Linked DNA regions of Callithrix jacchus. The protein of the gene in region 2 interacts with the protein of the main gene of each other region in a biochemical or structural test. Links are inferred from orthologs where the notes say so. Each region holds a gene or a part of one and is shown on either strand. Other genes may lie near its edges.

Region 1 (4,322 bases), on a different chromosome or scaffold from region 2:
CCCCTCACCTGGCAGCGCCCCTCCGCAGTAGGGTGTGCACGAGGACCCCTTGGCTACGCCCCTTCGCTCCCCACCCCCCCTTGCCGCCACGCCTCAATCCAGGGGGCCGCGAGGACCGAACTCGGCCCCAGGAATCCCCCACAGGTACCTCCAGCCATGGTGTGTGCAGCAACCGGTAGTCTCCCGAGCGCGGGCCCGGCCCGCCCCCTCAGCACCCGCAGCATCTCGGTCACTGAGACCGGATCCGGAAGCAAGGGTACCGCCTCCCGCACCGCCCCCGCAGCACCTGTTCGCGGCGCCGCTAGCACCATCCCACCGCAGGAGTCCTTAATATTCTCCAGCGTAAGCCATAAACGACATACCGGTCTGGGCTAGGAACCAGGACGCAGGGTAATGAGTACAGGAGCAGCACCCCACCCTGAACTTGCCCCAGCCCATACTGGTCAAAGGGCAATGTGCCCCTCCCCTTCAGCCTGTGGCCCACAAAAGGAAGAAAAGCAGACAACTGTGGCTTTGAACAGTTTTATCTTTAAAAAAAAAAAAAAAGAAAAAAAAAATCACCCCCACAAGGGGGAAGGCCCCAAGTGGGCCCCTGCCTGTAGTTCTCCCTGGCTCCAGAGATGTCTGCACAGGCCTCAGCTTCTTGCTGGCCAATCTCCTCTTCATGGGCACCAGCCACTGCTAAACATCCTTCCCCCATTTCTTGTGTAAGCTTGCTCCCCTGAGCAGCAGGGTGCATGTCTAAACCTCAGCTCCAGGGAAAGGAAGAACCAATGGAAGTGCCAGAGTCCTGGGGCAAGCCAGAGCATCACCCGTCAGCAGACCTCTGCTGGGCACTCTAAGCAAGCACAGGACAAGCCCCCCAGTTTAGTGTGTCCAGTATCCAGCATGGAGGCAGCACATGCATTGTGCGAGAGGAACGCAAGGGCCCAGGGGCTGCGTGGTGGGGGTGGGCAAGGCTGTCAGTGCACGTTCACATTGTGTGTTTCACACCACTGCAGGCTGCCATATCACAGGGCCTCAGTTCAAAGACACACCTTCTGAAACCCCCCCCAGTCCCCTGCCAGAAGTGGGCAGTGAAGGAAAGGGGCACGGGATTAGGCTGTTGCTTCCTGGGCTATCTGCAGTTCTTGGGCCCAAAGCCCCTGGATCCCCATAGTTAGTTGCTGTCATTCTTGATGACGACCTCTAATCCGTGGTGCCGCAACTGAGCTCGCAGCAGCAGATTCTTGTTTTTAAGATCTTCCACCTGACATGGGAAGGAGAGAGTAAATGGAATGGGTAGTAAAGCTGGCACTACCAAGCCCCTGAATGTATTCAGACATCCACTGGTGAGAGACGAAGCCCTCTCCATGGAGAACAAAGTAGAGGGTGTCAAACTGGGTCAGTGGCTAGTAGAGCTGAGAAGGGCTGCACTGGGGGTGGGCATCTGACCTGCTGTCGAAGCACGTCATTGTCCAGCTGCAGTTGGTCGAGCCCCTGCAGCTCTTCAGACAAGCGGTGGTTACTCTGCCGAAGCTCCTGGATATAATCACAAGCTTTGGATAGAATCCCACCTTTACTCTGCAAGATAAGGCCGACAAAATGAGGACTAGGATTTGAGATACCCAGCTTGCTTTCCAAAAGTAGGTTCACACTTTGGACCTCATTTTCCCCTAAGAAAGGTGGTATAGTATCTCCCAGGGATACAGGAACTTCAGGGAGAGGTCATGTGTGCCCTACTCTCTACCATTTCTGGAAACAATACCAGGAGACAGAATTCAGGCATCCTGCCCACTACCAGGGTCTTTCCATGACCTGGCCAGACTTGGTGCTCTCCATAGAGCAGTCTGGGATGATCTTGGAGAGCTGCACGATCCAGTTGTTGATCTTGTCTCGGCGGCGGCGCTCCACTGTGGAGCAAAGTGGAGGACAAGGTGACTCCGTGAAAACTCACTGCAAGTCCCAGGGTAAAAGTACCTAACCCCTCCTCCCCTCAGACATCACTGCTGTCCTAGGCCCACCAGACAGTTCCTAGCTCCACACAGATCTTACCTACCTTCATTGTGCTGAGCTCTGCGTTTCTCATCTCGAGTTGTCCGAGGAGCTTCTGACTTCCTGACAATAGAGCCCAGGGTGACCAGGGTAAGAGAAGGATAAAATACGTGATTGGAGTTTAGGGTTAAAGAATTATACACGATTTAGCAGGTATTAAGGCCACTTAAGGCTAGATGGGTGAAGTGTGTCACACCTGTAATCCCAGCACTTTGGGAGGCTGAGGCAGGTGGATCAATTGAGGTTGGAAGTTCAAGACAAGCCTTGCCAACATGGTGAAACCCTGTCTCTACTAAAAATACAAAAATTAGCCAGGCATGGTGGTATACATCTGTAGTTCCAGTGACTCGGGAGACTGAGGCATGAGAATTGCTTGAACCCTGGAGACAGAGGTTACAGTGAGCTGAGATTATACCACTGCACTCTAGCCTGGGTGACAGAGCAAGACTGTCTCAAAAACAAACAAACAAAACCACTTATGGAATCTGAGAAGAAACAAGGGTCACTCACGGGGAATAAGGGTGAGTCCTAGGGGCAATTGAGCGCTGGCTTCCTCCCTGCAGTACTTCTTGTGGTGACATCATTACAAAAAACTGACCTGTGAAGACACAGGATGATTCTGTCAGGACATGAGTAGGAACCTCACCATGCCCTGAGGTGAAGACCCTGGGCCCCCCCTCTAAAAAGAACATGCTAAAAGAAGAGCATCCCCAGACTCACTGCCTGCCCAGGTCCTAATGATCACTAAGAGTCATGAGTGAAGGCTCACTGCCTACCAGTCATGTCCCACAGCCTATCCTACCCTTCCAGCCAGCATCCTCCCGAAATATCTCACCAGTGCCAGGAGGGGTCGCCTGCCCCAGCAGTGCCTCTGAGCCCTGGGTAGTAACAACAGCAGCTGTACTCCCCGATGTGGTACCCCCTGCCCCATCTCCCACTGCCGTGCTGGGGAAGTAAGTATAGTGCGTCTCTGCAGCTGTCCCCTCTGTGTCAACTGCATCATCACTGGTGAAAGCACCCTGGATCACTGCCTGGGAAGGGGAGCAAGAGAACAGATTCAACAGTCAAAAACTTCTTCCCACTATACCACTTTGCAGCTTCTATCCCTTGGGGTAGCGGGTAGGGTGGAGAAGACAGAGAGAGAGAAAAACGTCCAGAAAGGGAGAGCCTAGTGTTTTGGGACAAGGTAGCCCTAGATGCCTCACTGTTCCTAGCTTCACCCCCATCCTATTGCTTCCCTTCTTCATCTTACTTCTCAGAACTCTAGTCATCTCCCAACCAATATCCTGTACCTGGGTCATGGATTGAGTGGCAGGGTAGCCACTGATGGCACCAGTGCCCTCAGTCTGGCCATCCAGCTGCCCTTCAGACACCTGGATCACCCTGTACATCACCTAGAAGCGTAGAGGAAGGCAGAGGGAGGGGAAGAGAGAAGAACAGATTAAGTGCTGGGAATCCTAGGGCCCCTCATAAAGCTTCCCTTGGATAGGGCCCCAAAACAAGAATCCTTCAGAGACACAGATTCAGCCATTCTTCCTTCTTTCTCCACACACAGGTTTCAGCATACATCTAACCTCACACCAGTCTCTACTCCAGTATTCGCACCTCCCTCCCCTGCAACAATCTATGCTTTCAGCTCATCCTCCAAGCCAGGTCACCCCAAGACATGTTCAATTACCTCCCTCAATCCCAACCCCAAATAACACCTACAGCCACCTGGCCCCCTCCCTTACCTGGCCCCCATTCTCAGTTCGGAAGACGTACTTGACGTTGGGGTCAGGGAAGGTGGCAGCTGACTGGATGCTGGCAATAGCCACACTGGTTGGATCCTCCCCAGTAGCCACTGCACCTGAATTAAAAGAACAAAGGAAAAGTCTGCCTTTCTCCCCACCGCCCCCCACCCCACACCATCCCCATTCCACTTTCATGTCATTGAAGGAGGATGCACAGGAGATGGTCTGGTCAGGGAGGAAGTGAGCCCATGGTGGGTTCTTAGCCGTGGTTCTGTTTCTAGCACTCACCTTCCTGAATCTGCACTGTCCCCTCTTCCGTTTCAGCTGTTTTCTGCTGCCTGTTTATGGTGAAAGGACAAAAGGAAGAATATGGGAAGAAGTGAATGAGAAACTCACTGGCCCAGTAACATATGGCTGCAAACTCATTGGCATTCCCAACAGATGCTGGGGTAGGTTAGAATAACAACTAGTGTTTACTGTTTACTATGAACACACACTCAGCTAAGTAATAACATGTATTCTTACTTAATACTAAAAACAGCACCAAGAGATAGA
Region 2 (3,809 bases):
GACTTCAAGTGATCTGCCTGCCTTGGCCTCCCAAAGTGCTGGGATTACAGGCGTGAGCCACCATGCCTGGCCCTGCTGTTATACATTTTTTTTTTTTTTTTTTTTTTGAGATGGAGTCTCGCTCTGTTGCCAGGCTGGAGTGCAGGGGCGCGATCTCGGCTCATTGCAACCTCCGCCTCCTGGGTACAAGGAATTCTCCTGCCTCAGCCTCCCGAGTAGCTGGGACTACAGGTGTGGACCACCACGCCCACCTAATTTTTGTATTTTTTAGTAGAGACGGGGTTTCACCATGTTGGCCAGGATGATCTCGATCTGTTGACCTTGTGATCCACCTGCCTCGGCCTCCCAGAGTGCTGGGATTACAGGCGTGAGCCACCGCGCCCGGCCCAACTTTTATACATTTTTAATAAGGAAGTTAAGAAAACAAAACGTACTCACAAAATTAAGTTTTGTGGAAAATACTTTTGAAAATGACACAAACATGAAGGAACTAAAGACACTGGTATGTGTTCACTCACTCAGCAGTATCTGAGAGCCTGGCGTGTGCCAGTCAGTGTGCTTAAATAGTAACGGAAGCAGGCACAGACAAAATAAACCACCTACTCTGCCACGAAATTCAAGCCCAGTGGTTAGAACAGCAATAACAGCAGTGATAAACAGAGGCTGTGTCTGCCGAGCCCATACCACGGGCGAAGCACGTACTGTGGGCTCATAGCCCGTGTCACTATTCCAGGTTAGGGGCTGCAAACGTGTTTTCTTACAGAGCCAGTCAGTAAGGGTGTTAGATTTTGCAGGTCATACACTGGCTGCTGTGACCTCTCAACTCTGCCATTAACAAATGGACAGGATAGTGGTTTCAATAAAACTTTATGCGCACACATCAGCAGGAGCTTGCTGACACCTATTCTAGCTGCTTTCCATCTATTGGAAACCTCCCGTCCCCAGACTGGTGCTGTTATTACCATTTTATGATTAAGTTCATCGGGGATAGGAAAAGTTGAGGAGTCTGAATCATTTTATAGCGAGGAAATGCCGGGTGTTTTTACTGAGGGCTAAGACGACTGTTTGCACGGTTACTGACGTAGTGAGGTAACACGAGATACTGTAAGCATGTATACACACTCACACACACACGTCAGACCCCAGGGAAAGCAAAAAGACAAACGCTTCACAAAATACTCACGGTTATTAATCACAAGTCCCGGAAATGGTCTAAAGAGAGAAACAGAGTGTAAGGTAGAACAATTTATTTCCACTCCGCAAGAACTGACAGGTGTGACTGTTCATTCAGCTCATACCCAGCCCGTGTCACTTATGTGCCACCACAAGAAATATTACCCACAACCTTGTAAACTTATGGAAGGGACAGATATGTATGAATAATGAGAACATGGTTAGGAAGTGTTTCACAATAAAATGCAGAGCAGGGAACAGAGTGACTCAAACGCAACAATGGAAGAGGCTTTTTGCTTAACTCCTGGGAACGATATGGAGAATGGCCATGGCGAAGTGGAACAAAAACATGGGATTTTTAGGGAAGGAAGGATGGAAGAAGACGAGTGAATGAGGAGAAGCCTCAAGAGGATGTATTATGAGATTTCTGAGTGCCAGTCCTAAGAGATCTGAACTAGAGACAGTGGCAGCTGGACGAATGGATTGGGAAGGTGGAGTCGTAGTAAGTTTCTGGGGGCTGGAAGAGAATAGGGAAGATAACCTGGGATTGGTCCTCAGGTGGGCATCTCTTATTGTGACAAGGACACGAGAAGGAATGTGGCGTTCTCAATGCTGTCGGGGGTGGGTACAGTCATCATGCCTATTCCTATGGACAGGAGCTGACACTCTCAAGGGGGACAATGAGCACTCTCATTTACAGACAACTAACAGAGTGACCCGGCTAACGAATGGCTGAGGTGACATCCAATCTGCCTGACCCAAAGCCCTGACAAGGTGCCTAAGACAGAGGTTGGCAAGGCTTTCCTGGTTTTGAGACCGAGTCTCGCTCTGTCGCCCAGGCTGGAGTGCAGTGGCACAATCTTGCTTCACTGCAACCTCCGCCTCCCAAGTTCAAGTGATTCTCCTGCCTCAGCCTCCCGAGTAGCTGGGATTGCAGGCACCTGCCATCATGCCCGGCTAATTGTTGTATTTTTGTAGAGACAGGGTTTTACCATGTTGAACAGGAGCGCAAGACCATGTTGGCCATGCTGGTCTTGAACTCCTGACCTCAGGTGATCCAACTGCCTCCGTCTCCCAAAGTGCTGGGATTACAGGCCAAGGTTTTTCTATAAAGCGCTAGAGAGAAAATATTTTAGACTCCGGAGGCCATGCTGCCCCGGCCCCAGCTACTTACTCCCTGTGACAGGAAAGCAGCCATGAATAACATGGATGTAGCTGTGTTTCAGAAAGACTCTAAAAACAGGAGGCAGGCTGAACCTAGCAGTGCTGGTTTGCCAACGCTTAGGCAGAAAAGCATCTAACATCCTAATAACAAAACAAGTTCTCTTCCTTTGGTCACTGCACTGCATAGGAAGCCTGATTCAACGTCTCCCTGTGACTGCATTTTAGATGGCTCAGCCTCATGAGCTCAGGATTTGTTCCCGTGACTGAGCAGGAAACTCACTTACCTAATGACCGTGAATTTGATAAACTCGGCAGAATCTAAGATCCTTCTCATGGAGCTGATTTCCAGGTAGCTGGGGGCTTTGAAGGACACCCCAGGGGGCATACCATCAACCACCACACAGCCAGGGTTAATTGTGATTTTCCTGTAGGGAACTTTGACAGGAAAACCCATACCAATAGCTTCACCTGTAGTGATGGTGAGACAAAAAGCACAATAGCAGACATTAATCTATTACTTTAAAAAGTCTGTAAAAAGCACAAGATCAACATTTATTGTAAAGACTGTCTCTGCTGTTAACTAAGATCTTTGTACACTTCAAACAAATTTAAATATAAACCTTAATTTTTTTTTTTTGGTTAGTTTTTTTTGAAACAGAGTCTCACTCTGTCGCCCAGGCTGGAGTGCAGTGGCTTGATCTCAGGTTCAAGCAATTCTCCTGCCTCAACTTCCTGAGTAGCTGGGATTACAGGCATGCACTATCATACCCAGCTAATTTTTGTATTTTTTGGTAGAGACAGGGTTCCACCATGTTGGCCAGGCTGGTCTTGAACTCCTGGCTTCAGCTGATCCACCCGCCTCAGCCTCCCAAAGTTCTGGGATTACAAGCATGAGCCACACTGCCAGACGGTGAACCTTAAATTCATTAACTTTCACACTAACCATCCATAGTATAACACTAATGGTATCTTATTAAATAAATTTAACACAAACAAAACATTCATTCCTTCATTTGGAGATGGAGTTTCGCTCTTGTTGCCCAGACTGGAGTGCAATGGTGCAATCTTGGCTCACCGCAACCTCCGCCTTCCCGGTTCAAGCAATTCTCCTGCCTCAGCCTCCCGAGTAGCTGGGACTACAGGCACCTCCATCATGCCCAGCTAATTTTTGTATTTTTTTGAGACGGAGTTTCGCTCTTGTTACCCAGGCTGGAGTGCAATGGCGCGATCTCAGCTCACTGAAACCTCTGCCTCCTGGGTTCAAGCAATTCTCCTGCCTCAGCCTCCTGAGTAGCTGGGATTACAAGCACGTGCCACCATGCCCAGCTAAATTTTTGTATTTTTAAAAGAGACGGGGTTTCTCCATGTTGGTCAGAATGGTCTCGATTTCTTGACCTTGTGATCCACCCACCTCAGCCTCCCAAAGTGCTGGGATTACAGGTGTGAGCCACCACACCCGGCCTAACACTTAC

The links.
Region 1: the proteins of GTF2I (region 2) and USF1 form a complex in vitro, tested with the Homo sapiens proteins (2 studies listed by BioGRID). The link is inferred for Callithrix jacchus from reciprocal best matches to the Homo sapiens genes GTF2I and USF1.

Annotation. Positions count from the first base shown.
Region 1 is NC_133519.1:20,900,188-20,904,509, forward strand, and holds the end of USF1 (upstream stimulatory factor 1), read right to left. Parts: intron 4,106-4,322; coding exon 4,056-4,105; intron 3,884-4,055; coding exon 3,768-3,883; intron 3,429-3,767; coding exon 3,327-3,428; intron 3,066-3,326; coding exon 2,870-3,065; intron 2,633-2,869; coding exon 2,545-2,632; intron 2,098-2,544; coding exon 2,039-2,097; intron 1,893-2,038; coding exon 1,798-1,892; intron 1,564-1,797; coding exon 1,435-1,563; intron 1,250-1,434; coding exon 1,160-1,249; 3' UTR 509-1,159; downstream 1-508. Other genes in the region: TSTD1 (thiosulfate:glutathione sulfurtransferase), read right to left, coding at 149-158.
Region 2 is NC_133503.1:9,011,796-9,015,604, forward strand, and holds part of GTF2I (general transcription factor II-I), read right to left. Parts: intron 2,806-3,809; coding exon 2,622-2,805; intron 1,213-2,621; coding exon 1,184-1,212; intron 1-1,183. UniProt on the Homo sapiens protein: Interacts with the basal transcription machinery by coordinating the formation of a multiprotein complex at the C-FOS promoter, and linking specific signal responsive activator complexes.